Mus musculus: one gene and its partners. The protein of the gene in region 3 interacts with the protein of the main gene of each other region in a pairwise test. Links are inferred from orthologs where the notes say so. Each region holds a gene or a part of one and is shown on either strand. Other genes may lie near its edges. The genes, in order: Gdf9, Aplp1, Tk1, Rbm48, Ccdc90b, Gapdh and Cops6.

Evidence for each region.
Region 1: the proteins of Tk1 (region 3) and Gdf9 interact in a two-hybrid assay, tested with the Homo sapiens proteins (2 studies listed by BioGRID and IntAct). The link is inferred for Mus musculus from reciprocal best matches to the Homo sapiens genes TK1 and GDF9.
Region 2: the proteins of Tk1 (region 3) and Aplp1 interact in a two-hybrid assay, tested with the Homo sapiens proteins (2 studies listed by BioGRID and IntAct). The link is inferred for Mus musculus from reciprocal best matches to the Homo sapiens genes TK1 and APLP1.
Region 4: the proteins of Tk1 (region 3) and Rbm48 interact in a two-hybrid assay, tested with the Homo sapiens proteins (2 studies listed by BioGRID and IntAct). The link is inferred for Mus musculus from reciprocal best matches to the Homo sapiens genes TK1 and RBM48.
Region 5: the proteins of Tk1 (region 3) and Ccdc90b interact in a two-hybrid assay, tested with the Homo sapiens proteins (2 studies listed by BioGRID and IntAct). The link is inferred for Mus musculus from reciprocal best matches to the Homo sapiens genes TK1 and CCDC90B.
Region 6: the proteins of Tk1 (region 3) and Gapdh interact in a two-hybrid assay, tested with the Homo sapiens proteins (2 studies listed by BioGRID and IntAct). The link is inferred for Mus musculus from reciprocal best matches to the Homo sapiens genes TK1 and GAPDH.
Region 7: the proteins of Tk1 (region 3) and Cops6 interact in a two-hybrid assay, tested with the Homo sapiens proteins (2 studies listed by BioGRID and IntAct). The link is inferred for Mus musculus from reciprocal best matches to the Homo sapiens genes TK1 and COPS6.

What each region holds. Positions count from the first base shown.
Region 1 is NC_000077.6:53,432,037-53,436,085, reverse strand, and holds the start of Gdf9 (growth/differentiation factor 9 precursor), read right to left. Parts: upstream 2,801-4,049; 5' UTR 2,681-2,800; coding exon 2,284-2,680; intron 1-2,283. UniProt on the Homo sapiens protein: Required for ovarian folliculogenesis. Promotes primordial follicle development. Stimulates granulosa cell proliferation. Promotes cell transition from G0/G1 to S and G2/M phases, through an increase of CCND1 and CCNE1 expression, and RB1 phosphorylation.
Region 2 is NC_000073.6:30,442,783-30,446,786, forward strand, and holds the start of Aplp1 (amyloid-like protein 1 precursor), read right to left. Parts: upstream 2,801-4,004; 5' UTR 2,687-2,800; coding exon 2,540-2,686; intron 1,680-2,539; coding exon 1,536-1,679; intron 443-1,535; coding exon 310-442; intron 129-309; coding exon 16-128; intron 1-15. UniProt on the Homo sapiens protein: May play a role in postsynaptic function. The C-terminal gamma-secretase processed fragment, ALID1, activates transcription activation through APBB1 (Fe65) binding. Couples to JIP signal transduction through C-terminal binding.
Region 3 is NC_000077.6:117,823,215-117,827,405, reverse strand, and holds the start of Tk1 (thymidine kinase, cytosolic), read left to right. Parts: upstream 1-1,391; 5' UTR 1,392-1,399; coding exon of another isoform or gene 1,400-1,456; 5' UTR 1,457-1,557; coding exon of another isoform or gene 1,558-1,626; coding exon 1,627-1,692; exon of another isoform or gene 1,693-1,773; coding exon 1,774-1,805; exon of another isoform or gene 1,806-1,903; intron 1,904-2,104; exon of another isoform or gene 2,105-2,194; intron 2,195-2,624; coding exon 2,625-2,735; intron 2,736-4,191. UniProt on the Homo sapiens protein: Cell-cycle-regulated enzyme of importance in nucleotide metabolism. Catalyzes the first enzymatic step in the salvage pathway converting thymidine into thymidine monophosphate.
Region 4 is NC_000071.6:3,593,748-3,598,047, forward strand, and holds the start of Rbm48 (RNA-binding protein 48), read right to left. Parts: upstream 2,801-4,300; 5' UTR 2,771-2,800; coding exon of another isoform or gene 2,642-2,770; 5' UTR 2,456-2,641; coding exon 2,219-2,455; intron 1,699-2,218; coding exon 1,508-1,698; intron 1-1,507. Other genes in the region: Pex1 (peroxisome biogenesis factor 1), read left to right, coding at 2,642-2,770. UniProt on the Homo sapiens protein: As a component of the minor spliceosome, involved in the splicing of U12-type introns in pre-mRNAs.
Region 5 is NC_000073.6:92,559,824-92,563,948, reverse strand, and holds the start of Ccdc90b (coiled-coil domain-containing protein 90B, mitochondrial), read right to left. Parts: upstream 2,801-4,125; 5' UTR 2,414-2,800; coding exon 2,314-2,413; intron 1-2,313.
Region 6 is NC_000072.6:125,162,974-125,167,181, forward strand, and holds the start of Gapdh (glyceraldehyde-3-phosphate dehydrogenase), read right to left. Parts: upstream 2,801-4,208; 5' UTR 2,579-2,800; exon of another isoform or gene 2,339-2,578; coding exon of another isoform or gene 2,321-2,338; coding exon 2,298-2,320; intron 464-2,297; coding exon 166-463; intron 68-165; coding exon 1-67. UniProt on the Homo sapiens protein: Has both glyceraldehyde-3-phosphate dehydrogenase and nitrosylase activities, thereby playing a role in glycolysis and nuclear functions, respectively.
Region 7 is NC_000071.6:138,159,726-138,163,901, reverse strand, and holds the start of Cops6 (COP9 signalosome complex subunit 6), read right to left. Parts: upstream 2,801-4,176; 5' UTR 2,790-2,800; coding exon 2,720-2,789; intron 2,528-2,719; coding exon 2,405-2,527; intron 2,229-2,404; coding exon 2,097-2,228; intron 1,766-2,096; coding exon 1,677-1,765; intron 1,581-1,676; coding exon 1,518-1,580; intron 1,168-1,517; coding exon 1,120-1,167; intron 773-1,119; coding exon 658-772; intron 576-657; coding exon 483-575; intron 394-482; coding exon 293-393; intron 167-292; coding exon 26-166; 3' UTR 1-25. UniProt on the Homo sapiens protein: Component of the COP9 signalosome complex (CSN), a complex involved in various cellular and developmental processes.

The DNA of each region.
Region 1 (4,049 bases), about 64 Mb from region 3:
CCAGGAGTTCAACGGCCCCTTTGGCTATGGATTGAGAGAATGGGCTGTGGGTAGAGCTCAGTGAGTAAGGACAATTGCATCTAAGCTTGAGGACTTGAGTTTGAACCCTAGGGTCCCCACGGTGGAAGACAAGAACCAATTTCTGAAAACTTTTCTCTGACCTCTCCACACATGGCCCTCATCCCCAATTCACACATGCAAATACATTTCATATATTTAAAAAAAAAAAAAAAAAAGGGAGAACAGGTTTGCTGGGGAAGTGAAGCCAGAGACAATTATTAGACCATCCGGTTTCAGACCCAGCAGCTTGCTCCAAACACAGACAGCTGAGGAGAGGCTCTTCCTGTGGCGGCATCCTTACAGACAAAGCCAGGAGACCACAGAAAGCAACACTCCTGCCGGCCGGGCGGGCGTGGTGGCACACGCCTTTAGTCCCAGCATGTGGGAGGCAGAGGCAGGTGGATTTCTGAGTTTGAGGCCAGCCTGGTCTACGGAGTGAGTTCCAGGACAGCCAGGACTACACAGAGAAATCCTGTCTTGAAAGAAACAAAAAAACAAAACAAAACAAAAAAAGCAACAAGCCAACTGAGAACATTTGTCTGCAGTGGTAATCACACGCTCTGAGATTGGGGACACATGGAGGCTATAAGGCCGCTGCAGTAAAGTGGGCTGGGGGCGGGGTAGAGTGGCTTTGAACAGCCACAACTGCCCTAGACAGTTACAATGGCTTGTATGAACTGGTGGCCAGCATATATGTGTGTCTCTGTTGGGGAGTTGGGGGGAGGCTGTTAATGGACACACTCTCTCAATGGAGCACAAATAGAGGTGGAAAGACAGCTTGTAGGAGCTGGCTCTTGTCAGACTTGGTGGAAGAAGCCTTCATTCACCGAGTTATCTCCAAAGCCCTGAGTGTTTTGTTTTCTTGTTTTGATTTTTTTAAACACAACTCTTCTTTCTTACTAAAAAGGTCCCCCATTGTTGGCAAACGCTTGGAGGTCTGGGATTTTGTTTGCTCATTTGTTATGGAGACAGAGACGGGGTCTTACTGTGTAGCCCTTGCTATCCTGGAACTCTAAACCCAGCTGGCCCTGAACTCAAAGAGCAAAGCCTGCTCCTGCCTCCTGAGGGTTAGAATTAAAGTCATGTGTCACTGCAACCCCACGTGAGTTTTGTTTTGTCTTGTTGGTACTGGAGGTCAAACTCCAGGCACCTGGTATATAAAACATAAATGGTACCACATCTCAGCCATATAGTTTTGGGTTTTTGCCTTTAAAAAAAAAAAAAAAAAAAAAGAGGGCTGGTGAGATGGCTCAGTGGGTTAGAGCACCCGACTGCTCTTCCGAAGGTCCAGAGTTCAAATCCCAGCAACCACATGGTGACTCACAACCATCCGTAACGAGATCTGACACCCTCTTCTGGTGTGTCTGAAGACAGCTACAGTGTACTTACATATAATAAATAAATAAATAAATAAAAAGAAAGAAAGAAAGATGTACTGTGCAGGTGGAGACAAACTTTCTTCTTCCAGGAAAGCAAACGAGGGGAAATGTTCCGGATCACACCCAATACTAAATCAAAAGCAGGCTTTAGGCACCATGCTAGGCCAACAACTTGGTAGAATAAAAGAGATGCTAACTGCCTCCAGAACTTTCTTTGGCCTTTCAGGACATTAGTCTCTTCTAGCCTTAACATATTGAGATGGCGTGGTGCTGTGTGCCTGGAATCCCAGCACTAGAGTGACTGAGCAGGAGAGTCACTGCAAGTTTGAGACAGTCTCAAAAAATAAAAAAAAATTTAAAAAAGGAAACTCGAACAAGATAAAATCTATTAGTTTCTTAACTAAAGATGCTGTAGGAAACAAATAAAACAGTGTTATCAATGCTATTGGCCAGGGATGTAGTAGCAGAGGGCGTAGCTAGCATATGTGAACCCCTTGCCCTCAATTTAATCCTTAGTACCACCACACCAAAACAAAAAAACAAAAAAAAAAAACTTTAAACTTTTTAAAAAGTGCTAACTTTAAAAGAAAAAGTTTGTTTCAGTTGGACACTGAGAATCATGCAAAATAGAATTCACAGGATGGTGAAAACCTGTGTGATTCCAGTACTTAAGGAGCCGAGGCAGAAGGATGCAGAGTTCTGAGTACAGACTGGGTAACAGGGGTAGATCCTGCCTCAAAACAAACCAAGGGACCCAAATCAAAGTGTGGCTCCTTCTGGTAACAGAATCGGTAAAGCCTCTGTCTTTTCTCCCAGCCCAGTTGAGCAACCTCCTCTTACCCACCTGTCACCTGGTTGCTGGGTGCCTGCTCTTGCTGGGCACAGGGACTGAAGAGCCGGACGGTATTGTAGAGGTGACTTCTGCTGGGTTTGGGAACCCCCTCTTTGGTAGCATACGTCTTATAGAGCTTTTTCATGTAGTAGAGTGCTCTGGAGTCAGGCTGCAGCTTAGGGGTCTCACCTCGCCTATCAGATAGAACCTTAAAGAGGGGGGGCAAGAGGCCAGACCTGTCAGTCCCATCTACAGGCAGCAGCAAGGACCAGGGGTCTGCCTCAGACTCCACATTTTCACTGGCTCCACTCTGGGATTCTTCAGTAGAAGCCTGAGAGCTAAGGCTACTAAGAAAACACAGCCAGGCAAAGCAGCAAACCCCCAACAGGAAGTTGCTGGGAAGTGCCATGACTTGGGAGAACTAAGAAGGAACGCATCTCCTCGTGCCAGTCTTCTTTCTAAAGGTCGGGGAGGCCCTGGCGTGGTCCTTAAATAAAATCTAGGTGTGGAAGACTGACTTCACTTCTGTAATCAGACCTCAAGCATGCCTAGCTGTACATTGTTTCTTATCAGCTCTACAGCAGTCAGCTGACAACACGGTTTTATCCAATTTGTTCTCATTAGATACAGATTTATCTACTTATTTGGCTTTCTTTCCCTGTTTCTCCTGGACATTTATTTCAAACCCACCAAGTATCGTCACCCTAGTGGACTACTTATATAGGTGAGAGCCCAACAGAAACCCAAGGAATTATAAAACAAAACCTCTTAGGGCTGGAGATGTGACTGCAGAAGTATTAGGTTTATTTTTTCCTCTTGATTCATCGTCTATCTCCACAGCTCCCACGTCCAGGTGGTTAGAATAACTGATGGCTTACTGCACAGTGAATCAGAGAAACAAAGTCACAATGGGTTCTGAAATTCCAGTGATGTTAGGCTGTTCAGCCTGTCCAGGTGGCTTAGTAGAGGGGTTGTAAAGTTGGCCCAAGACAACAGCTACTTGCAATGTGCTTTGAAAAAGGACATCAGGGCCCAGGTGTAGAGGTTCACGCCTTTAATCCCAGCATTCAGGAGACACAGGCAGGTGGATCTCTGTGGATTCAAGCCAGCCTGGTCTATATAGAGAGTTCTAGGACAGTCAGAGCTACATAATTTTGAGAGACCCCATCTCAAAATAAAAAGAGGACATCACCTTTAACTTTGAGCAATTAAAACATACAATGTCTTGGGGCCAGAAAGATGATGGATGACCTGGCAGTTAAGGGCACTGGTTGCTCTTCTTAGAACAACCATTTATAGCTCCACTTCCAGGGGAGCCAATGCCTTTCTCGGGCATCCTTAGGAATACAAAACACCCATTATAAAATGAAAATAAACAATTAAAAAAAAGCCACAATATCTAGCTGGAATGGCAAGATAGCAACTTGCCGCCAAGCCTAACGACCAAAAGTCATCCAGTCCTAAAGGCCTAACTTCAACCCCTGTGATCCACAGAGAAAAAGGGAGAAGAGACTTCTACAGCTCGTCTTCTGACCTACACCCCTAGCACTTACATACCAAATACATATTTTAAAATGTAGTGACAGTACAATATCCTGATGCCCTTGTTTTGGTCTACAATTCACTTGACTATACTTTGGTTGAAAAATCTTGAGACATCAGCAAATGCAATTAAATAGACATCGTATTTATTCTTTAACCAACCACCCAGATGGCAGAAATCAGGACAGTGTTTTAGTCCTTGATTAAAGTATTTGTGTCCCGGCCTTGGAGGTGAG
Region 2 (4,004 bases), on a different chromosome or scaffold from region 3:
GGACAAGGCCCTGACCTCCTGAGCCTCCTGATGCCTCCTGGTTGAACTCTCACACTGGTCCATACGCTCCTGGTGCAAGAACCGACAGCCTTCGGGCACTAGCAGGGCTTCACTCACGAATTCGCCAGCTGGGGAATGGGAGACACCAGAATCATCACCAGAATCATCACCCAGGCCTGCCCACCTCAGAGGCCAGGCATTCATAGCTTTCTCAGCCCATCACCCAGACTTCAAATGTAGACCAAAGTCATCTCTGGTAGACTCCCACTTCACCTCAGTTCCCACCCCACCCCCCAGCGGGTGACTCACGCAGGCAATGGAAGGGCACAACCTCATGGTGGGGGTGGGCGCATCTGCCACTCCGGGTACCCCCACACCAGCGCTCCATCGGGATGGCCTGTGCAGCCTGCTCCACGCGTGCTATGTGCAGCTCGGGGTACATCTGTAGGACACAATGTGTGTGGGAGGAGGTGGGGGGGGGATCAACCTACTGGCTGACCCCCACCCTCTGCATCTCTCATTTGGCAGCAGTACTGGGGATTGAACCCAGAGCCTTGTACATGCCAAAGCCATGCTCTACCACCAAACTCCTACATGTCCAGCCCTCTTTTTACTTTTTATTTTGAGACCAGGTCTCCTTACATTTCCTAAACTGGTCTTGAACTCATTCTGTAGCTTACGAGGGCCTTTAATTTGTGATCCTTCTACCTCAGCCTTTCCAATAACTGGGATTATGGGCCCATGTCACTAATCTCAGCTTGAGCAGTTCCTTTTTACGTGTCTTGGTTCCTAAGGACATCCCTGGGCCTTCGTCTCTTGTCTATAGAACTAACAGGTTAATTTGTAAGCCTCAGATGCTAAGCTTCGGGTCCACTGGTCATACCCTAGTGGTCTCCCTTAAGTTCACCATTCTCACGAGGCCTTGATAAAGGTCCTCAGGCTTTGACATGCCAAACTCAACTTCTCTGAGCCCACGTTTGAAGGCAACCCTGCTCGGCAATCAGGTTTCTTGCTCTTTCACTTCCTGCCTTTCTCTGTTTAGCTACTAAGTAACTCTTCTTTGTATTAGCCCCGCCTTTTCATTGCACGTCTCTTAGGCAGGCAGCCACTCTCATTGGGCTCCATCACTTACTGAATCTTGTTGGTTTAAAAGGTCTCTTGATCTAAGCCTTGCCTCTCTTTCGGCCACGCCCACTTACACTCCCACTTTTTCTAAACGGATCCATAGATTCCTAAACCATGCCACTCTTCAGGCGACCTTGATTAGTCCATGGGGGGTGTGGGGGGGTGTTGTTGGGTTTTTTTTTTTTCAGTCTCCACCGCCGCCCCGCGGCCCCTAATTTCTCAAAATAGGTTTGCGCTGGCCCTTTAGGAGGGGCCTCTTCACTGACCACAGACCCCCAAGCTTTCCCTGGCTTTACAGATTCTCTCATCTCCCTAGACTCTGCCAAGTCCAGCTTCCTCAAGGGCGACCCCGCCCCAGCTTGGATCCACTTTCTCATTGACCACGCCTCTCCCCGTGGGGTCCCGCCCACCTGTCTGCAGTACTCCAGCACGCGCTGCGGGTCCAGAAGACAGCGTCGTGATCGCTGTGGGTCTGGTTCCCAGCGGCCGGTGCGCAGGTCCCGGTGAAGGGTTAGACGCCCACATAGTCCAGCCACTTGAGCCGACCCCGGAGCCTGGGAATGAAGGCAGATGGGGCAGTGAGGAGCCAGGGCAACGATGTCATCTGTGTTGTCTGGTTCTTTGCTCCCTAAAACCCAGATAGGGCTCCTGCCCCTATCTCTAGCACCAGCTCCTTCTAAGCACCTTCTGAGTGGAGAGACCGTTCCCCGGGAAACAAATCCCGTGGGGCTGGAGCGCCCCAGCTCTCCCGTTGCTATGGTGACCTGGGTCCCCACCCCCCCGCCCCGTTTCTCGCGGCCTTGTTGCTGAGAAGACAGGCTCCGCCCCCGCCCCAGCGGCTTGGGTCTGAAGCCTGAAGGGGTTAAACTTGAATCGTGTTGGGGGAGGCGGGGGGCGAACCCAGGCGTTCTGGCCCCTCCTCCCTCCATCCCCAGTTCAGGTTCCCACTGAGGGGGTGCAAAGACGACAGGGCCCAGCTTCCCAGCAGGCCTGCACATCAGACCTTTAAGGACTAGAGGAGCTATATCCGGATTGAGTAGTGGGTGGAGGCCCGGACTACTGGATGTTTGAGGGCAGGGGGTTCATGTGGGTCCAGATAATACAAGGGACCTGGGTTCTTAGAGCCAAGCGCCTACTGCCTGGTGCGTCCTACGCTTAGGTGGGCAGGTCTTGGGGCTTTGTCGTCTAGGGGTGCTCTGGATTTCTTGGACCAGAGGCTCTTGGAAAGAGCCAGGTCCGACGATGCGGGTGGGAGGGGGCAGGGACGTCAGACGATGGAGGAACCTAGGAAAATCTACAGTTCGGATCGCGTGGGGCAGGCCACCTGGCCAAAAGGACTGCGGTGGCCGTCCCGCGTCCAGGTCGAGGCCCGGTCCCGCCCCTTCCCCATCCCCAGGACCCGGCCGGGCCTCACCTCGGCCGCGCTGGGGCTCCCAACAGCCAGGTTCCCGACGGCGAGCTGCGCGCGCAGAAGCAGCAATGACAGTGGCAGCAACAGCGGCAGCGGCGGCGGTCGCCAGCGGCGACCCTGACCGCGAGCGGCGGGGCTGGTGGGCCCCATGTCCGGGCCTCGGGCCCTCACGTCCCCTGCGCTCCCGCCCGGCCCTACCCGGCCCCAGCGGTGACAGGAGCTCCCAGCGCCACCGCCGCCTCCTCCTCCCGCCGCCCCCGGGCTGCGCCGGCGCCGCCAGCCCCGCCCCGCGCCGGCCCCGCCTTCCCAGCCAGGACAATAGCGTGGCGGCTCTGCGCACTGAGAGGCTCCGGAACCCCGGGAGGGAGCCTGCTCCAAGTCCCAGCCCCTCAAGATTCCAGGTGTCACTGTCCGCGTGAAGACCGAGTCACTAGGTTCAGTCCTGGGCGTAGCCGTTTTCTGGACTTTCATCCTTGGCCTTCTCTTCTGGCAAACGCAGACACCCAGCATCAGCTTTGTCCTCCTCCAAGGATGCCAGAATCCATGGGGGTGGGGGTCTTCCATAAATCCCTCTCTTGAGGTCCCAGGAATATAGACCTCCGAATTTTCCCAGTCAAGAATTTAGGGAGTGTACTAGGAAAGCCTGTAATCCCGGCACCTGAGAGGAGGGGGCGGGAGGATAGGAGTTTGAAGCTAGCCTACCTACATGCAACCCAGTCTCAAAAGACAAAACACAGCTACAGCTAGGTAAATCTGCTCCCTTCCAGGCCTCTTCTGTCTCAGGACCGGAGGCCAAGTCTCCCACCCTTGCTTCCTCAAACCTAGGAAGCCTTCCTGCCCTGATTGCCAGGTGTCTGGATCTTCAAATACTCCCTCCAAAAATCCATGACTAAACCCTTTCTTTACAGATGACTCGGGTCAGGTGCTGGATACCATAGCCTTCCAAGACCAGCACCTGAGGACCACTGTGTGGAGTCCCCCATTCTCACCCTTTCTAAGGGCCACCTCAAGTCTTCTGCCTAAAGGGTTCACTGTTTTATCTTAAGTGAGTGTACAATATTCTAATCCCCCCCCCCGAAGCAGCCCAGATGTGTGTGTGTGTGTGTGTGTGTGTGTGTGTGTGCATCTGTATGGTGTGGACCTGCCCACATTTGTCTGTCTTTCTGCTTTGTGTGTGTGTGCATCTCTGTGGATGTGGGTGGGGTGAGGTAGTGGTGTATTATTAAAAGAGTTTAAAGTGGAATGGTGATGTGCACCTGTAATCCCAGAGGGCCTGAGGCAGCAAGATCAAGAGTTCCAGGCTAACTGCTGAGAGAAGGCTCAGTGATGAAAAGCACTGGCCGCTCTCTCAGAAGACCCGGGTTCAATTCCCAACACCCACACTGTCTATAACTCCAGTCTTAGGGGACCCATCCCTCTGTTCTGGTCTCAGGGACCAGGAATGTATATAGTATACAGTAACACATGC
Region 3 (4,191 bases):
GTGGCAGAGCATTTGCCTGTTGTGCTGGGTTCAATCTCTACCACCACGAGGGGAAAATGTAAGATGCCCACACTTAACACAGAAAGCCAGGAGGACACAGGTTCCTAAGCCAACACAGGAATCCTGAAGACAGTGAGTGCGTCTTCACACTGAGGCCTGGGGCTGGGCACCTTTGGCTCTCTCCAGCTGTCTCTAGCCTTGCTCTTCTCGTTGATATAATGGGGGTGCTAGACGCCCACAGGGTTGGAAGGGAGGTGTGTAAGAGAAACAATGTAAGCCCCTTGCTCAAACACAGCTGCCTCTGCCTCTTCCTGTTGAATGTTCGTCTTACATGCTATAGACCCTTCTCGTTCCGGTTGGTACCTGCTGGATGCTAGGGGCCTGGCTAGGCATCATCTTTTTTTTTTTTGTCGTCTTTTTGTTTTCTCATCTCTTGTAACTGTGTAGCTGCCTCGAGGATCAAGTGCTGAGATTACTGACATGTGCCAAAAGTCTTTTTATTTCCTCTTTAAATGTGTGTGCCTGCAGTCCCTTCTGGAGCTGGACGCTGTGAGCTGTCTTGATGTGGGTGTTGGAAATCCTCAACTCTGCGCCTCCGGAGGAGCTGTGGATGCTCAACAGCCGAGCCATTTCTCTAGCCCTCTGCCTTCATTTTTACTATTAGGATTTATGATTGATTGTATTTTAAAGTTTATTTTTTGTGTAGTCCTGGCTGACCTGGAACTCACTCTGTAGACCCGGCTGGCCTTGAACTTAAGTCACCTGCCTGCCTCTGCCTGGAATTGAATGCTTGAGCCACCCCCGAGGACACATGTTCCTAACTTTCAACAGATTCTAAGTGATGTCTGTCTGTGACCAAAACAAAGAAGCCTGTTTAATACAAGCTAACCAGTCAAGAAATCCTAGTGGAATGGTAATTAACTACAGCAAGCGCCAAAATGTGTTGTCCTGCTTTGTGTATGCCTTTGGTAACCCTTGCCGCAACCAATGGCAGACAGAGTAACCAAACAAATTCCTGAGTGAGAAGGTTTCTGGGCATGCTCGGTGTGAGCCATAGGAGTTTTAGCATGGGAATTCTGAAGCCGCTCAATACAGTCTGTCCCTGAAGGTGCCTGCCTTACTTTGCGACTCACAGCAAGGACCCCCAGCCTTGGCACCTTCCAGACTGTAGTTACAGAAACACAGAATCACACTGCACAACCTCAGAGTAAGGTCCAAACCCTAAGCCCCTTAGTTCCTGCTGGAACTTGAGTTTTCGCTGTCTTTAAAACCAGGCTAACAAGCTAAACCTGCTCTATGACGAGAAAAATGAAGAAATCTGGCGCTCAACGCTTGGAAATTTGGCTTGTGGGCATCCTAAAATTCCAGTCCCGGCTCTGGGCGGCTGCACCACACCTACCTCCGAAGACAAGTTCCTCCAGGGATTCTGGCCCGCAGAAAGGGAAGGAAACGCCATGGCCAGATCCGGAGGGGATGGTCGAGCTCCAGGCTTTTCACGTAGCTGAGAGGTGGGACGAGTCTTGTCTTCGTCCCGCCCCCTTTTGAGTTCGCGGGCAAATGCGAGCAGTAAGTCGAAATTTTTCCACCCACGGACTCTCGGTGCTAACTAAGGTTTGCACAGCAGCCATGAGCTACATCAATCTGCCCACCGTGCTGCCCAGCTCCCCCAGCAAGACTCGGGGGCAGATTCAGGTGCGGGGTCTGGAGTGGGGTCGGGTGGTGGCTGGTGCGGGGTGTACAAGGGGGAGACCCCTTAAATGACTTCTCTTCTAGGTGATTCTCGGGCCCATGTTCTCAGGGAAAAGGTAATGAATGGGCCTTCGGGGCGGTGGGCCTCCCTCTCTCTCTGCAGCCTCTCTCTCTGCAGGCCCTGGCTCTCCTCTCCCCCCTCCCCCATCTTCCCAGGAGCCTCTGACTAGGCGGCAAACGCGCTCGACCTCTGTGTGTACATTCCCGCCCAAAATTCGATTTCCTGGATTGCTGCCATCCTCCTGCCCAAGCCTTTTCTCTTGGGGAACCCTATCTTTGCTGAGGCGGACCACATGGGGGTACAATTGAAGACCCCAGCCCACATTACCCAGGAGCCCACCGAACTCTCATGTGTCCCCTGGGAGTTAGGCACCTTCTCTGACAGTTTCCTCATTCATTCCCCATGCGAGCTCTCCTAAAGCCTTGGAGCCCAATTAACTCTGAGGTGAGGGTCTAAACTCTGGGAGTCCCACCCAGAATAACAAACACACACTACTTGGGTTTTCTTTGCTTTATCTTGGGGTTAGTTTTTGTTTTTTTTTTTTTAACTCAGCGTCTTTATTTGTGGCCCAACTCAGAGATCCGCTTGCCTCTGCTGGGGTGCATCACCATACCAGGCACCTCATTATTTCTGAATGGTCTGGTGTCACCTCAATTTGTCCCTTGCCCCGAGGGTGAGGGCCAAACTCATGATCTGGGATCCAGAAGCAAGCTCTCTGGTGATTCTGTCAAAGACTTTGAAGTTCATTCATGAAAATTGAATTTTGTTCAGAACAGCATGGGGTGAACGGCTGCAGTTCCGGCTGCCCGACGCTAGGTGGTAGTGGCAGCCCGCCTTTTGCTCGGGCCTCATGTGCTCTGGTTAATTCTTGCAGCACAGAGCTGATGAGAAGAGTCCGGCGCTTCCAGATCGCCCAGTACAAGTGCCTGGTCATCAAGTATGCCAAAGACACGCGCTATAGCAACAGCTTCTCCACACATGATCGGTCAGTCCTACCCCTGAGCCTGCCCTTCGGAAACCCCTAAGCCTCGGGGCACACTGCTGCTAGCCTCTAGTGGATATGAATAAGTGCTCAAAACTTACTTAGAATAACCTGTCCCCAAGTGTCCATTGTACCCACGGAGGCTGGGAGAACCTGGGTCCCACTTGGGTAGAGGCTGCAGCCCTCTTGACTCCAGAGATATTTCCCCCCCTCTTTAGTTGGCTCTCTGCCATTAGGTAGCCGTCATCATTCTGAATTGTCTATCTATCAGCCCTTCCACTGGACATTTCCCTCTGAGCCCAAGGGTAGGTAGGAGTTCAAGAAAGTAATTTGTGCCTCTCGGGGTTGCTGGAGCTGGGCCAAGGGTGAGCAGCCTGGGGTAGAGCAGGTTTCTGAAGCGGAGCAGGAAGTGGAGCCGAGAACTACCAGGACTTGGGAGTTGGCCTGGGGATTCAAGCCAGGCTTCCTGCCAGACTCTGTACTGAGGTCTTTACAACTGTCTTTGTAACCACGGTGCCAGCGCTCAGGACGGGATGTGCATCCAGGAGGACCGAAATCAGAGGAGGCAACAGTGCCTAGAGTGGTGGCCACAGCTGGCTTGTTGCCTGTCCTCTCTCTGGTCCCCTCTACCAGGGGAGGGAAGAGAGAATTTAAGATGCCCGAGTGTTGTGTTGTGTTCTTTAGTTGGTTTCTTTTATTTTTTTCTGAGACAGGGTTTCTCTGTGTCGCCCTGGCTGTCCTGGAACTCACTTTGTAGACCATGCTGGCCTTGAACTCAGAAATCCTCCTGCCTCTGCCTCCCAAGTGCTAGGATTAAAGGCGTGCACCACCATGCCCAGCTTTGGTTGGTTTCTTAGGGAGGTGTGTGTTTGCACACAGGTAACCATACACCCGCGTTCAGAGGACAGCCTCGGGTTATAAGATCTGTGTTCCACACTCATTGGCCATATCTTTTTTTTGTTTTGTTTTGTTTTGAGACAGGAACTCTCTACAGACCTCTGGTTGCCCTGGAATTCACTCTGTAGACCAGGTTGACCTTGAACTCACAGAGATCCAACTGTGCCTGCCAAACGCTGGGATCAATGACATGTCCCACCACACCTGGCTCAGTATGCTCTCAAAGCAAGCCCTTTACACATTCAGACATCTCCATCCTGTTTTTGATTTGTTTAGGGTTTTTGCATGTAGATCTGCACGCTACTTGCTTGTCTGGTACCCTGGGAGGTCAGAAAAGAGCATCCGATTCCCTGGAACAGGAATTATAGATAATTGTCAGCTGCCATGTGGTTCCTGGGGGTAGAACCTAGGTCCTCTGCAAGAATGACAAATGATCTCTCAACCCATTTACTGAGGCAGGTCTCAGGTAGCATAGGTGGGTTATAACTTGTAACCCTCCCTCCTCTTCCTCCTGGAATTACAGGCTAGCAATCCCACACCCAGCCCACAACTCCTTCAGATC
Region 4 (4,300 bases), on a different chromosome or scaffold from region 3:
AAAAGAGCACTTGCTGATCTTTGAGAAGAGCAGAGTCAAATCCCAGCATCCATCTTGGGTGGTTCACAACCACCTGTAACTTCAGCTCCAGGGGATTTGAAGTCTTTTTCCATACCAAAAAAAAAAAAAAAGTTTATGAATAGCAAAAGCCAGAAAAAGATATGGTTTAGATAAGGTTAGTGATTAAAATGAAAAAATGGCTAACATGAGCTAGGAAGGCTGCTCCGGTGGAAAAGCCCTTGCTGGAGTGCCTTGGCTCAGACCCCTGGCATGCACGTGAAAGCCAGGCACCGCACTGTGCCTGTAATTCCAGTGCTCACAGGGTAGAGATAGAAGGATCACTGAGTTTGACAGTCACCAATCTAGCCAATGAGCTCAGTGAGGGAGGGGCCCAACCTCAAAAAATAGGATAGAGTACACTGTAGTGCACACAAGCCTTTGAACCTGGTGGAGATGGGTAGGCAGAGTCTGGAGGAAGTTTTGAGTTCTAGGTCAGCTGGTCTACACAGCCAGTTTCAGGCTAGTGTTCACTCACATACACACACACACACATACACACACAGGAATATGCACACACATGCACCCCCCCCCCCCCCCGCCAAAAGGGGTTAACATAAAATAAAGCATTCCTTATTGGAATACAAAGTTGATTAACATAGAACTATACAAATAAGAACTGTCATTACTAATAGTTACTTTTTGTTTGTTTGCTTGTTTTTTGGAAACAGGGTTTTCTCTGTGTAGCCCTGGCTCTCCTGGAACTCACTCTGTAGACAAGGCTGGCTCCACCTCAAGAGGTCCACCTGCTTCTGCCTCCCTGGTGCTAGGATTACAGGCATGTGCCACCTCTGCCCGGCTCTACTATTTCCTCTTAATAGGAGGTACCAGTCTACTCCCTTTACATAAATTGTCCCATTTCATCCTTGCTCAGTGAACCTCAAGAAGTAGTCCTTTTTGCCATATGGATTTTAGGAAAAGAACAAAAATTTGCTTGGAGGACTAAAATTCTCCACAGTCATGAATCCACAGGACTGATAATTTACTTCAAACGTAATTCTTAATCTACCACACTACAGGTTCAAAATTTGCCAAGCACAGGTATGAGAGGATGGGAAGAGTATTGTTGTAAAGTCAGCCTTTTAAAAGCTTGAAGGAAGAGCTGGGATGTCACTCACTGTTAGAGTGATTAAGTCGCAGATGTGAGGCCTGGTGAAAAACAAACTGGAAGGCGAGGTGGAGTGGTGCATACCTTTAAACCCAGCACTCGAGAGTCAGAGGCAAAGGCAAAGGGATCTTTGAGTTCAAGGCCAGCCTGGTCTACAGAACTAATTCTAGCACAGCTAAGGCTATCCAAATAAACCCTGTCCCCTCCCCTCCTCCCCCCAATCAGGAAGACTGAGAGCAAGAAGTGCTTCTGTGCTTTGGGTACATTTGGGAAACAGTTGGGGCCAAAATGACAGCAACAGGAATAAGATTTTAACAGGAGTTCTGCTTAACTTGTACATACCTTGCACTCTGTAATTTCACAAATTTAATGAGATAAACTTCTGTAAAATCTTCCGCTGGGTATTCATCTAGAGCGTTATACTGTTCAATCGCACCATACAGAGCAAAACGCTCAACTAATTCCTTCATGGCTCCCACTGCAGGAACTCCTTGTATTAGTAAGTACTGAGACTCCAAATTGATTGTATATACCTAAAGTCAAAGGAGACCTCGTTAAATGTACTCTTCAAACAAGCCTATGGCAAATCGGTCCTCCCACCCCCTTTTAAATGGAGCTTTGAAAACAAGAAACAATCCGGTCTGCAAAACATACACACTAAACTGTCACTCTTCTGCCTAAAGACTACCACACTCCACATAAGGGTATCTGACTAAACCACTTAACAGACGTCTTTTCCAAAAGCTGACTCCAGAGAGGTTAATGTAAACAGCCACTGAACACTCACTCACCCTGGGCTTGCCCTGTGAGAAGCGCTATTGTAAACACATAGGATACAAAGCTAAAAATAGTGGGTTGGAGGTTTGGTAAGCAGCTAACCGAGGGTAGTGATAACCTTTGGTACCGGGGCCCGGGTTCTTCGTGCCCCCTCCACTTAGAGATGGATCTCACAACATCCCTGCCATGCCTTTATGGAGGCAGGCCTTGGGGAGCTAGTGCTCACAGGAATTTAGTGTCCCTGCCGAGGGGAGAGAAGAATCCGAGTCACTCTACCTTGACCGCGCGAGGGCGTCGGCCCTCCCGGTATTTGGCCCGCGAGTCACACACAGCCGTCTGGACGTGGTGATCGAATACGCCACCAGGTTTCCCGTCACTGGATGCCATCTTGCCGGCTCTAGTCCCCCGCGCCAGAACAACATCCGCCAGCCGCGCTCCTCTGAGTCCAATAAGAGAGCAGGATGGACCAGGCGTGCTAGGATTGGCTGAAGGATCGACCCCATCGACGATCATCTCCTGAGAGCGAGAATTCGACGAGCGACGTGCCGCCCCCTAGAGCTTCGGAGGTGGCCCGAGGGTGACAGCGGCCGGGCGTGGGAAGAGGGGGGCGGGCCTGATCGATGTTCTCGGGTTCCGACGCTCTCACCTGACGAGAAGCCGGTGGACTCCGCTCTCCGGTGAGAGTTGAACCTTGGGACAATGTGGAGCAGCGATCGCTTAGCGGGTGCGGGGTCTGGTGGGGCGGTCGTGACGGTGGCCTTCACGAATGCTCGGGACTGCTTCCTGCATCTGCCGCGGCGCCTCGTGGCCCAGCTTCACCTGCTGCAGGTAACGCGCTGGCGGGACGCGGACACCACTGACGTCTCGTGGGACTAGGGTCAGCTGACACCTTTTCCTGCAGGGACATCGTCTGCCACCGACCCCGAGCTGAGGCGTGAGCGAGGGCCCCCTGCGGGCATGGCGTGGAGTGGCAGCGTGTGCATCCACACCACGGCTAGTGTATCCTCAGACCCTACCGTGGAATTCCTAGTGCACCCCTTTAACTCGGTTAAAGCAAGCTGAGCATGCAAGGGTTCTGCCCCAGCAGTCAGAAGCGGCCCTCACTCAAGGATGGAAAGTTCTAGAGAGCTCTTACAGGTTTGCTTACAGGTTGCTAAAGCATTATCCTGCCAACGAGTTGCCGGTGCAGCGATAGAGGTGTTGAGTGGCAGACTTGGTTTGTAGATTACCAAGGTTTCCAACCTGTGCGAAAGGTTAATAAAAGGATAGATAGCTCTCCCTGCTCCGGAGGACTTCGAACATAGCAAGAATATGTGCGGCGAGGGAGGTGGGGCGGGGTGACAAGGTGATGGAATTATTCACACCCCACACTTTCACCTCGGTAGCTAGGATTACTTGGACCTCAGCGAGCTGTCTGGATTCTGTCATTATGGTGTTTCAAGGCTATTAACCATCGGTGGAAATACAGCATCCATATTTTCCTAAGAGTGAGCAGAAATAGACTCTCTTAGTTTGAGTGTATTCATGGGGTTAGAGTATTTGAAATCTAAAATCCTAGATGCATGGTACCTGAACACTGGGTCATAAAAAAAATATACAAGAGTTTGAAATGACTTCAAGTATTCTACCTTTATTTCCTCTTTGCTACATTTATCTTGCTTTTACAGTCCACCTATCAGAACACACCAATTTCATCAGAACCATTCTTACTGTTAGTTTATCTCCACCAAATATTCTCTAACTCTCTGGTTTGCTTTCTGGTGACTGAAAGGAATCATTCACTGTTACCAAATCCCAGCTTGGATCATTATTCCCTGTCATTTCTGATGGGGATTTTTCAGTGTATTTTCAAATCTCAAATTAAGCTTACCACCCCATGAGTTTAGAAAAATGCTTCCTTATGGTCGCTAAGAATTTGAACCTGACATGTTGTTGCTTCCTTGGATTCATCACTGTTTAGGAATTACATAGTCTTGGTCTTTATTATTATTTTTATTATTATTTGAGAAGTGAAGAAGTAAAATACTAAGCATTTGGATTAAGTCTTGCATGCTTATATCTAATCTTTATTGTTTATAGAAAGGTGGAGCTAGATACACATGAGGTTTCCTGTCCTGGTTTTTTGTTTTGTTTTGTTTTGTTTTGTTTGTTTTTTTCGAGACAGGGTTTTTCTGTGTAGCCCTGTCTGTCCTGGAACTCACTTTGTAGACCAGGCTGGCCTCGAACTCAGAAATCCGCCTGCCTCTGCCTCCCGAGTGCTGGGATTAAAGGCGTGCGCCACCACGCCCAGCTTCCTGTCCTGGTTTTGTGTAGTATTAATATGACTTTTGTTGAGAGGTCATTGCTTTTAGCAATTAC
Region 5 (4,125 bases), on a different chromosome or scaffold from region 3:
ATTTGATACCAGGCAGTGGTGGTACATGCCTTTCATCCCAGCAGAGAGGCAGTCAGATCTCTGAGTGTTTGAGGCCAGCTTAGGTGACAGAGCCAAGTTCCAGGACAGCCAGGGTTATACAGAGAAACCCTTTTTTGAAAAACAAAACAAGAGTACATTTGACATCTATACAAAACCCTACATACATCATTTTAATTTTTTCAAACTAATCTTGTATGTTTACAGTGAGATAGCAAATTCAAAATTAAAAGACTTAACAATTTACAAAATTTCTACTATAGATCTCTGGACTATCTTGTAGAAAATGACTCTTTTGGAAAAGGCCAAAATTTACTTTTTAAAAAGGCATATAAAATAGAGTTCACTAAATCTAATTATTAATTTATTGGCCGTTTTTAGAACTGAACCACTTCAAAGACATAACTGGTAAGTTTTCTTATTTGTATATTTGTATGTGGATGTATGTATGTGGGTGTGTGCATGTAGAAGTATGTGTGGAGGTCAGAGGTCAGCTTTCAGGACTTGGCTCTCTTCTTCCATCACATGAGTCCCAGGACCAAACCCAGCTCATCAGGCTTGGCAATAATACCTCTGCCTGCAGACTTATCTCGCCTGGTACCAGCTTGTTATTTTTCTATAAAAATTCAAAGAATTAAAGCATATATTCTCAGGGAGTAGGTGGTGGTACATGCCTTTAATCCCAACACTCGGGAGGTGGAGACAGGTGGATCTCTGTGAGTTCAAGGCCAGCCCGCTCTTCAGCTCAAGGACAGCTAAGATTACACAGTGAAACTCATTTCAAACTAACAACTCCAAAGAACATATTCTTACATTATAGTCTAGTGGCATAATGTATATGTTGCTTCAGAGAATCTTGGCAAATTAAATGAACTAACAAAAATGCTTCCTCTCCACCTGAGGACTGATTCAGTACTTCTGGTCATAAGGCTTGGCAATCTGTACTTAGAAGAATCAATCATCTGTAGTGTTTCTGATGTACTGCTAAGTGTGGATAGTAACAAATGAAGACTGCAGCACCATCGACAAAAACGTAGACAAATCACGGCTTCCTCTGCATCTCACCATCTACTTGAAAATAACTATACTGTGGTATTTCCATGGGATAAGGACCAACTTTCAAATTTGCTAGACTATTGACATTTGTCTATAGTAAGCAGTAAATACTTGTTACACTGAACAGGGACACAAACCATGCACTAATTTTAAGGGGAGACAAGATTTCCTCAAGAGTAACCAGACTTCAAGTGGAATAACTTGAAAATTGTACCAAAATATTAACATTTTTCTGGGGTGTTATATTTTTGGTAAAAGTACACAGATAAGTTGAGATTTGAATTATTTCATCAGATTCAAAACAATGCTACCCCTTTGTGTGTGAGGGCACACATACCTAAGGAGAGAACAGAGGAGGTCTTTGTATCCTGCTCTGTCATGCCCTTCCTAAGTCTTTGATAGGGCAGCTTTTATTGAACCTGGAAGTGGCTGGGGGTTCAACTTTGTGTTGTTATGCTTGTGTGCAGCACAAGTTTCTACCAGTGGACCCACCTCGCCACCCTTTTCTGAAAAGTCCACCAGAATGTGTATTTATAATAACTACCTAAATATGGATTCAAAGATGTGACTAATTCTAGCAGCTAAACAGTAGCCTTGCAAGGGCAGCCTTGATTGAAAGTCAGCGGAACAAATACAATTAAATAACAGGGTGAAAACAAAACAGTGGCAAACAACAAAACCACACAAGTGTGGAGGGCGGAGAAGTGTTTTTGGGTACTGAATAACTCAGTTTATCATCATACACAGATCCAGGAAGAACGAAATGTGGAGGTTGGGATGCCTTTTACGGCGGAAAAACTGAAAAGCACAAGTATAAAAAAAAGCCTTGGAAATAGTTCTCAGAGTAAAGTAAGATATTCTCCAGGATATACAGACTAACAAAGTGTTTGGAAACGCATAGGTTCCAGGACACTTAAAAAACAAAACAAAACCCTACTATGTGATTTGTAAATCAGAACACCCGCAAACTACCTAAGAGTTCATAAATGGAGACGGAACCCCGCCCCGCGCCCCCACCAACTCAAGCCGAGAGGAGGCGCAGGTCCGCAGGGGCTGGGTCTAGGAGGAAGGAAGCCCTCCAGCCAGACCCTGTCTGGAACGCCCAAGACCCACCATCCCCGGAGCTCGCGGGTGGCTCTGCGCGGGTGGGCGGGGCCCTGCAGGGGGTGTGTCACTCTCGCGGACGCCTGAGCGGGCACACCCGCCCGAACCTTCTCCCTGAGCGAGTCTTCGTCTCACCTCTCCGCAGGGCGGGTGACAGACGCCCATGAGGAGTTGAAGTCCAGCGGATTCCGCCGCCGTCAGGGCGCAGGAACCGCCAAATCCAGCGGCTCCTCATAGTCTCGGAGCCCCGCAGGTCAGCAAGGGGAAGCGGAATACGCGTTGATTTTCGCTGAGGCTTTCGGACAATGAAGTCCTCTCACCATCAGGATGCTGGGAAATGTAGTTTCCGGTCTGTCACCAAAGCACCTACTTGAGAGGTTTTTCTTCTACAAAGCTAGGCCTCTTCACAGAGCCACACTTAACACGACTCAGAGCTTATCCCCCTAGCACATCGCCCTTTTCCCATCTCTTCCCGCCTTTACCGCCCTAAGAAAGCGGGGTCTTGGAGAACCTTCTGGCGCCCATTTGCGGGCGGCGAGTTAGTCCCGCAGCAAGCTTCCCAGACCGAATCCAGCGTAGCAGCATAGCATCATGGGACCCGCAGTCCTTGCTGCTGAGGATTGTGGGGATGAGACCGCGTTGTAGCATCGACCAGTGCCCGTGGAAGTCCAAAGCGTATCACACACTTGCAGTTTCGCGTCTCTCTGCTTGGCCCTCTGGTGCACTGGAGGACCAACTGTTTTAGGCCTTTTCTTCAGGGAAACGAAAATTCTCCATTTCCTGGGTCGGCATTGTTCATGATTTAACATTCTCCAACTTCAGTTACCAAAGTCATTGCCCCACCTGGTAAAACCTTGAAAGCAATGTACTAACTAGTCTGTCGCTTACCCAGATTGCAACTTTGTGGGAATCAGCTACCCACCAGCCACCATTTCAAGCACTGAAGCTCATTAAAAACAAAACTTGGTTCCCACCAGCAAGCACTTTAGTAGATTACACATAGAAGGAAATTAAAATGATTCTGTCGTGGGTACTAGGGACAGAGACAGGAGAGACAGTTCTCCTGGGCTGCCAGGTGGGTCCCTGGTATTCAAGCGAAGCACTCTAGACTTTAAAATATTTTCCAATTTCATTTTCAGAAATATCTGAATGCCAGCTAGGTTTAAAGATTAATAATTCGAAGAACAAAGAAAGAATTCCAACAACAATTTAAGTTCTTACTGTACAGGATTTTTTTCCCAGGCTATGTGGGGATTATAAGGATTTCTGCTCTCCAAGTGAAAGACCCACAACATGAGGACTCCCCCACGTTCTGACTCAGGAGAGGCGACACCCCAAATCACGCATGAGAAACGGTCTTGCTGCAAACTGCAAGAGGACTTTTAATTCAAGAGTGCTCTCGGGACCACAGTAATACACCACGCAGGGGTAGAGGTCCCTGGCGCCCCAAGTAGCTGGGTAAGGGGGTATTTAAAGGAAGAAACCACAACTCAAGGAAGTGGGGAAGGCATTGTTGGAAAATACCAAAGATACCAGTTAAGAGTCAAAAGGAAGTGCAAAGTCACAAGAGTCACAAGGAATACCTGGTAATTGTTCGGGTTATCTCTCAAGACAGTTTCTAAGAGCCCCTAACAATGGCACATTTGCATAGCGGGTTCCAGCAATGGTCAGGGGGGGGGGGTCAGGGTAACTTTCTTTGAATGAACACTCTTTGAACCCAGGAAGCGGTGGGTAGAGGAATGTCTGTTTTATGACTAGCATACCTTGGAGCATTGAGTCACATTCCCAAGCCTGGGCCTAAAGGCCCAGAATTTTGCTTTTATATTTTTTCACAAGAACTTGTAATAGAAAAACAGGAGAAGGTAGAGAATAAGGAAACAGTAATATCTTAGTATCATGTAAGTTTTTAAACAATTAATCTTCTAGTCCAGCTGAGAGTGGGATGTT
Region 6 (4,208 bases), on a different chromosome or scaffold from region 3:
CAAACATGGGGGCATCGGCAGAAGGGGCGGAGATGATGACCCTTTTGGCTCCACCCTTCAAGTGGGCCTGTTTAAGGGAAAGAAGTTGATTTCAGACTCAGTTCTTGGTTTTCAGGTTGCACCATATCAAGGGTGCCCGTCACCTTCAGCTTTCCGGCCACTTACCCCGGCCTTCTCCATGGTGGTGAAGACACCAGTAGACTCCACGACATACTCAGCACCGGCCTCACCCCATTTGATGTTAGTGGGGTCTCGCTCCTGGAAGATGGTGATGGGCTTCCCGTTGATGACAAGCTTCCCATTCTCGGCCTTGACTGTGCCGTTGAATTTGCCGTGAGTGGAGTCATACTGGAACATGTAGACCATGTAGTTGAGGTCAATGAAGGGGTCGTTGATGGCAACAATCTCCACTTTGCCACTGCAAATGGCAGCCCTGGTGACCAGGCGCCCAATACGGCCAAATCTGAAAGACAAGAAACAGGGGAGCTGAGATCAGAACTCCTCATGGGTCTGTAGTGAGCCCCAGGCTATCTCATGTTCTTCAGAGTGGAATACTGTTGCACCATAGGTGTGGAGAACCTGCAGCCATCAGCTATGCACGTACCACAACAAAGGTACAAGCCTTTATGCAGACACAGTACATTAGAAATGTATGCATCAGGAAGTTCATGTTTTGTTCAGAATTCCCTTTAATAAAGCTAGTTGAATGCTTGGATGTACAACCCAAATATAGACTGTTCCCACCCTAGAAAGTCCAAAGAGATCTAATTTTATATTCTTTGAGCAGCCGAGGCCTGGCAGGGCTTTTATAGCACGGTTATAAAGTGGAGGTTTCTTTCCTGTCCAAGAGGTGATTGCTTGCCCAGCAAACCTCCTCCAAGTCATTCTAAGTCTCTTAAGAAGTGGCAGTTTGCCCCAGTCTGGGTACAAGCTTGGCACATCACCCCCATCACTCATGCCCTGGGAAGTTTGTTCCAGCATGGCTGGACTTCAGGCTACACCCCCTGGACAGGGCAGACCTGTGAACTCATTCATCAGCAAGCTCAAAGGGCAAGGCTAAAGGTCAGCGTGAGCAGCACAGGGCGGGCCCACCTGTGTCCTCCAAGTCCCTCGAACTAAGGGGAAAGACTGAGAAAACATGTGGGGGGTTTCCAACCCTAATCCCAGGGCTCGTTCGCGAAACACCTGTTCTTCTCGGGCAAAAATGAGAGCCGGAGCAACAGATGTGTGTAGGGGGAGCAGGGTGGAGAGCCCGCTCAGACCCCAGATCCAGAAAGGTCACACGGCTAAATTTAACCTCAGATCAGGGCGGAGTGGAGAGATCTGGTTTCTGGAGGATGGAACGGGGAGAAGGGCAGGATTCTGAGGCGCAGGGACACCCAATCCTCTTAATGACCTTTACATCCTGGCCTATAGGGCCTGGGTCAGTGCGAGGCTGTGATGGGAAGTGCAGGGGATGGAAGGGGCTGCTACTACAGGAGCCATTTTGTGGTGGAAAATTTCTTTTCAGAACCACCATGACTCAGCTCCCCATCCCACGGCTCTGCACTACGCCATAACTACCTCTGGGGTTGGGAGGTCAAGCGGACCTCTGTAAGTCCGCTTTGATTTTCAGAGAATAATCTAGAATACGCATTATGCCCGAGGACAATAAGGCTCAAGGGCTTTTAAGGCTAATAAGGTGAGACAGATTGTGAGGTAGAACTCTCTCGAGAGCACGGAAGCCTTGCATCACCTGGCCTACAGGATAAAGGACACTCCACCCAGCCGAGAGGAATGAGGTTAGTCACAAGCTAGGAAGAAGGAAGGCCTAAGCAAGATTTCATAACGGCGGTTCATTCATTTCCTTCCCGTTTGCAACATGGCGGCGGCCAGTTACCCTAAAGGAAGCCCAAGCCTGGGAGATGATGCGCAAAGGTATGCACCTCACAACGCCATGCCACCGACCCCGAGGAAGGGGGAGATGGGGGAGGGGCTTCCCTCCTGGCACGTGACTCCTCAGGGCGCGAAAGTAAAGAAAGAAGCCCCGGACTGGGGATTACGGGATGGGTCTGAACGGGCGCGTGGGGTTGTTCCTAATACTTAAGACTCCGGGCCGCTCATCCCCGCAAAGGCGGAGTTACCAGAGGTGCAGCAGCTGGGGGCCGCAAGTGCGAGCCATCGCCAGGTCCGAGCGCTGACCTTGAGGTCTCCTTGGGCGCTTCGGCCACCTCATCCACCTCCCCACAGTACTGCAGAGCCCCCGGGTCAGCAAGACCTGCGTAGGCAACGGAGCAGGGCCCCGCCCTGGAACTCACCCGTTCACACCGACCTTCACCATTTTGTCTACGGGACGAGGCTGCAGGAGAAGAAAATGAGATTAGCGTGGCCCGAAGGACACCAGGCAGTCCCCTCCCCCACCCCGCCTCCATTCCCGCCGTGCGCCCCATCACGTCCTCCATCATCCCCCCCCTGCAATGCGGAGCCTGGGTCCGGCTTGCACACTTCGCACCAGCATCCCTAGACCCGTACAGTGCCCACTCCCCTTCCCAGTTTCCGACTGTCCCCGGCCTCCTGCGGCCCACTCCGCGATTTTCACCTGGCACTGCACAAGAAGATGCGGCCGTCTCTGGAACAGGGAGGAGCAGAGAGCACCAGGGAGGGCTGCAGTCCGTATTTATAGGAACCCGGATGGTGGGGGGGAGCTGATGACGCGCGCCCCGCCTCCCGCCCTGCTTATCCAGTCCTAGCTCAAGGGCGCAGAGGCCTGAGCTACGTGCACCCGTAAAGCCGCGAGTAGCTGGGCCTCTCTCATTTCCCCTCCTCCCTCTCTTTGGACCCGCCTCATTTTTGAAATGTGCACGCACCAAGCGTGTGGGCTCCGAACTGATAGGGGGAGGGGAGCTGAGATTGCCCCGCTCAGGAGGTGACCGGGTGATGGTTCCCAGGATAGGACTCAGGGAATACAGACTATGAACTTAAGGACGAGGAGTCCTTGGAGTGTGCACCAAGGACATCCAGGACCCAGAGACCTGAATGCTGCTTCCCGAGTAAAATGGGAGAACAGGGGAAATGGAGAAGTGTGGGTCTCCCTGCCACTGCATCATCGAACCTCTCCCCATTATTGAAAAGGCTGCGGAAAAGTTGAGGATCTTCTCCTCGTTGTTCTTCGGTAGTGACACAGCAACCCCCCCCCCCGAAAAAAAAAAGAGTGGAAGAAAATGCCAGGGTGGGGGCACTTTTCCTCCCGCGGGAGCCCTCAGGAGCCCCATTTCCCTATCTGCCCCCCCCCCCCTCCTGGCTTCTGTCTTTGGCCAGAGGCCTGGCTTGTGTACCGCGCTGTGAGGGCAAGGGGGTGGCCAGGAAGACGCTTGAAAAGGAGATTGCTACGCCATAGGTCAGGATGCCCTGCAGCCTGGAAACCTGATAATTGAGACTTACAAACACTCTCCTGAGTTTACCTGATGAACCTAAGCTGGGACCCCGGGGTAAGGGCAGCATCCCTCTTAAGGGTTGAATTGGAGGAGGCTCAGAGGCCTCCTATAGTATCCCTCCTCGGAACCTGAGAGCTGCCCCGCCCAGGCTAGGAGACACTGCCCCTTTCACCCACTGTAGCCCCAGGGTGGAGAGTTGGGACGTGAGGGCGGAAGTCCCTCCCCATCCAGGGACGTGCTGACTGGCCCTGGAGCCAGGGACTCTCCTTTTTTGGCTGCCCTCGTGGACACAGGGTGAGATCAGTGAGGGGAGAACACAGGAGAGGAAATATTATACCCCTGAGCCAGGACAGGGAAGCCCCTAGCCTCTTGCCACAAGTGGAAGGGAGAAAAGGCATTCTTTGGTTTTATTTTGTCTTTTCGAGACCGGGATTCTTCACTCCGAAGGGTAGGGAGGCTGGGAAGGGTGGAAGGGCTTGGGAGCACTGTAGCAGGTGCAGGGCAGGGGGACTCTGGCGCCTCTTTGCTAGGCCAGTGCAACATGAAACCAGCCCCCTGCTCATCTAGCTCAAGAGCCTATTGCTAAGTTTAGCTGGCCTGGTGATAACCTTTGCTTAAAAGGCAGGGAGCACGCTGGGCTGCACCCCAAATCTAGTCTTGGCTCCTTGCCCTTCCAGATTGCCCTACCTCCTTGGGGCCCCAGAGCCAAGGCTGTGTTAGACTGACAGCTGTGTGGCCCGTGCCCAGGCTTCCCATGAGCGGGGAGCAGGCCAGATGAACAGGGTGGGAAGGGTG
Region 7 (4,176 bases), on a different chromosome or scaffold from region 3:
CACACCATCCCTTCCAGAACCATCATCAGAAAAACAGTCCCCGCATTCGCCGGCCAATGCCTTGTCGGTCGTAGAGGACGTTGAACTTGTTCACAAACTGGTTCATTGTGTTGCACGTTTTGGTGATGGTGCCGAGGTAGGCCATGAGCCCCACGTCATTGCATTGCTGGGAGGGAACACAAAGAACCAGTTCCCCAGGGGTCCCTCGTATTAGCCAGTGACACTTGAGTTTCACCTCCTACCTGTGAGGTGGTGTGAGCCCCACCTCCCCATCAAAGGTGTCAACACTCACATCATAAAAGTCTGTCTTGAACTTGTCAGTGCTGAGAACTGGAAGACAGTGACATAGGGCATAGGCCTCCCGCAGGATCTCATGGTTGAAGGGAACCTCTCCTAAGGACACAAGGAGGCTGCACTGATGTGGATGCTGTCACTTTTCCAGGAGAGGAAAAATGTTTCAAAGTGACAGGCACCTCTCCTACCTGCTTCAGAGGCCTTGACATATTCTAAAATGAGCTTCACACGGCTGTGCAGCATCTTGATGGCACTATGCTGAGCTATCAGGTGTTCAGCCACTGCAGGGGAATGGGGCAAATGAAGGGCGGCCTGTGGCCACACCCAACCCCTACCTCCAAAGACTGAATTCCCCTCCCTTACCAGTGGAGTTCTCCCCACTGCCTGTTGCTGTCATCCGGGCCACGTGGTCTACACCGATCCGTTCAGCTTCCTCAGTGGCCAGAGTGTAAGTGAGCTCAGCAAACAGCATTGTGGCCTGCAGAGTAAAGAGTTCTCAGATAGGGAGAGTCAGGAAACAGACCTAGGCCTAGGCAGATGGCTCAGCAGGTAGAGTACTTGCTGCACAACTGAGGATCTCAATTTAGAGCCTCGGAACCCACATTAAGTGAGATGTGACAGCATGTGACTGTAATCCTGGAACCCCTACAGCAAGATGGGAAGTGGAGACACAATTCCCAGAAGCTCACAGGCCAACCTGCCTGGCAAACAAGTGAGTCTGTCCCAAGGTAGAAAGCTAGGATGGACACCCAGGGTTGTCCTATGCCTGCACACGGCATGCAGGAAACAGGCTAAAAGGTTTGAAGGTTGCAGGTTATATATTACCTCTCCATTGATTATATCGATGACAGACTCAAAAACGCTGACAGGAAGCTGTAAAAACACAGACGGAGACAAGAGAACAGCTCTTACTAAAAGCAAATGCACTTGAACTTACACACATGCCAGGCTGGCTTTGAACTCACAATCCTGCCTCAATCTCCTGAGTGCTAAGATTGGTTACAAGTGTTGTCACCACACTTGGCTCATGCTTTCTCTAGGTTTTACACACATTACATATGGAAACACCACTGAAGAGATGAAGTCACACAACTGATGGGTGTAAACAGCAGGGTAGAGATTCAACTCAAGCTTTCTCTAATACACATAATGTCGGTAAATTAGAGCAAAGGCATAGTGGCAGATGATCAAGAAAAAGGGGACATTGGGTCAACAACACTCACATCTGTGTGCTTGGTCATAGGGTTCAACTTCAGAAAGAGCGGACTCTCAATTATCTCACACACCTAGAAGATAAGGCAAAGCCCAGGAAGAGTCAGTATCTCCTCTTCCCCTAACCTTCTGTTCATTTCCCCAACATGCACATATTTGAGCTTCTATACCTGCTTATGGACGTGGATGTCTGAGGGGTCAGGTGGCCCCCCTGTGGTATACCAACCCAGAAACTCCAGCTCCTTGAAAACCTGTTTAACTGGAGAAGAAGGGGCCAGAGTAAATATTCCTTTAAACCTCTCTTCCTTAGTTTGATGGGCCTGGTGTGTTCTTTCCGGTTCTCCCCTCCCTCCTCATATTTTGGGTCAGTTTAAAATAACTACACCTAACTAACCTTGAACTTCTGACCTCTTGCCTCTATCTCCTGGGTTATATGGTACTGAGGATTGAACTCTGGTCTTCCCGAATGTTAGGAAATGCACTTTACCCCACTGCCCTACATCCTCAGGCCTTTTATTCTTTAAGACAAACAAAACAAAACAAAAATCTTCCCACTTTTCCTTCCCCACCCACTTCTATTCCCCTCTCACACTGCTCCTCCTTGGTGTAATAATATTCTTTGTCAATGATAATCTTCTCTTCCACGGTGTGGGACAGCAGCTCAAAGGAGTTCATCACTTCGATATTTCGCCCCTCCTGCTTCCCGATCAGAGCCCCAATCACTAAGGGGAGAGAAACAGAAGCGCAAGGAAACTAGGTGAGGAACAGGCGTCTCGGAAAACCTTTCCCGAGTCGGCGTGAATCAACGACTGGGGAAACAATAATTTGGAAGAAAGGGCGCAGGGGAGTGACTGGAGGAAATCTCCAAGAGATTTTGAGATTTACACACAACACTCACCCTGCATAGGCCGCCCCTCCTGGGAGCGCATGCGGATCCAATGGTCTGAGATGTTAAGGATGACAAGGGGATGAAGAGCGACGGAAACACTCCCAGTCACTCCGGAGGCCATCACGCTGGGGACTGTTAAAGGTGAAAGGAAAACATAGCGGCTGAGAGCTCGGGCCCACACATTTTCCCCTAGACATGGAAGCAGGGGACCAGCAGAGCCCGGCCGTCCATCGCTGCCCTCAAGTTATCCTGGGACAGGTTTAAGAAGTACTCAAGACCACTTCTCAAGGGCAACTCCAGAAGTCGGTCTGCGCACCCCGTTACCTGCTGCATCCACTTCCATGCCGCTGCTGCCTCCGCTCCCATTCGCCCCCGCCGCAGCTGCCGCCGCCATTTTCCCCGCGCCCGCCAGCCACGGCCCGCCCCTTTCCTTCTCGGCTTCCGTCGGGGAGCGGTGCATGCTCAGTGTATACTTGGTGCTGCTAATGGGCGGGGCAGCTGCCAGTACTTAGTAGCTCAGGGTGCTCTGCGTGTTGTGCTGCTGCTAGCGGTTCTCATGTAAACCAGCCTGGCCATGAGTTCTGTAGTGTGTATCTGAAGATGGCTTTGAACTTTGATCCTCTTGCCTTTACCTCCCAAGGAGGGCTATTAGTTTCCAGGTCTCAAGTGGATACACTGTCAATACTAAACACAGAGAAAATTGCGATCAAAAGGAGGAAAGGCTGTAAAAGGGAATGGGGAAGACAATTTATTCAGGATATAAAATTTTTCATGTTGCATATAATCTATAGAGACTTGATCACTTGTTTGTTGAGATAGGGTCTTACAATGTTGGCCAGCTGGTGGGAACTTGCTATTCGTCTAGGCAGACTTCTAGGAGATCCGCCTTCCTCTCCTTCCTGAATGCTGAGATTAAAGGTGTGTACCATACCCAGCATGCCTAGCTTTTAAAACGATGTACTGAGGATCTAAACTCAGGTCCTAACACTTCATCCCCTGAGCCATCTCCCCAGTAGTAATTACTCTTGAATTGTTCAGCTTCTTCAGTTTCAAGACAACCTCTTTACACAACTTAGCAACTGCTATTGGGAGGGCTTGTGGCCCACGCCTTTAATCACAGCCTTTAATCGAGGCGGGCAGACCTCATGAGTTCAAGGCCAGCCTGGACTACAAAGTGAGTTCCATCACAGCCAAAGCTACACAAACAAACCCTGTCGCACAAACAAAAAAAAAAAGGTGGGGGGAGGGGAAGAGTTGCCTTGGTCATGGTGTCTCTTTACAGCAATAGAACAGTGATTAAGACAATTACTTGTAACAAAAAAGAAAACCAAAAAAAAAAAAAAAAAAAAAAGACAATTACTTGCCCAGCATGGTGGCACACGCCTTTAATCCCAGCACTTGGGAGGCAGAGGCAGGCGGATTTCTGAGTTCGAGGCCAGCCTGGTCTACAGAGTGAGTTCCAAAATAAAAAAAATAAAAATAAAAATAAAAATAAAAGAAAACGTTTCCTACTTGGACAATAACTAAGGCTAAGCGACCTGCTTAAATAGCCAAGAAAGAGTATTTGGTCCACAATCATTCATTTGGGGCCAATAACAGCCATTTTTTTAAATTTTTATTTTGGTTTTTCGAGACAGGGTTTCTCTGTATAGCCCTGGCTGTCCTGGAACTCACTTTGTAGACCAGGCTGGCCTTGAACTCAGAAATCTGCCAAGTGCTGGGATTAAAGGTGTGCGCCACCACCGCCCGGGCTACTTTTTATTTTTATTTATTTATTTTTT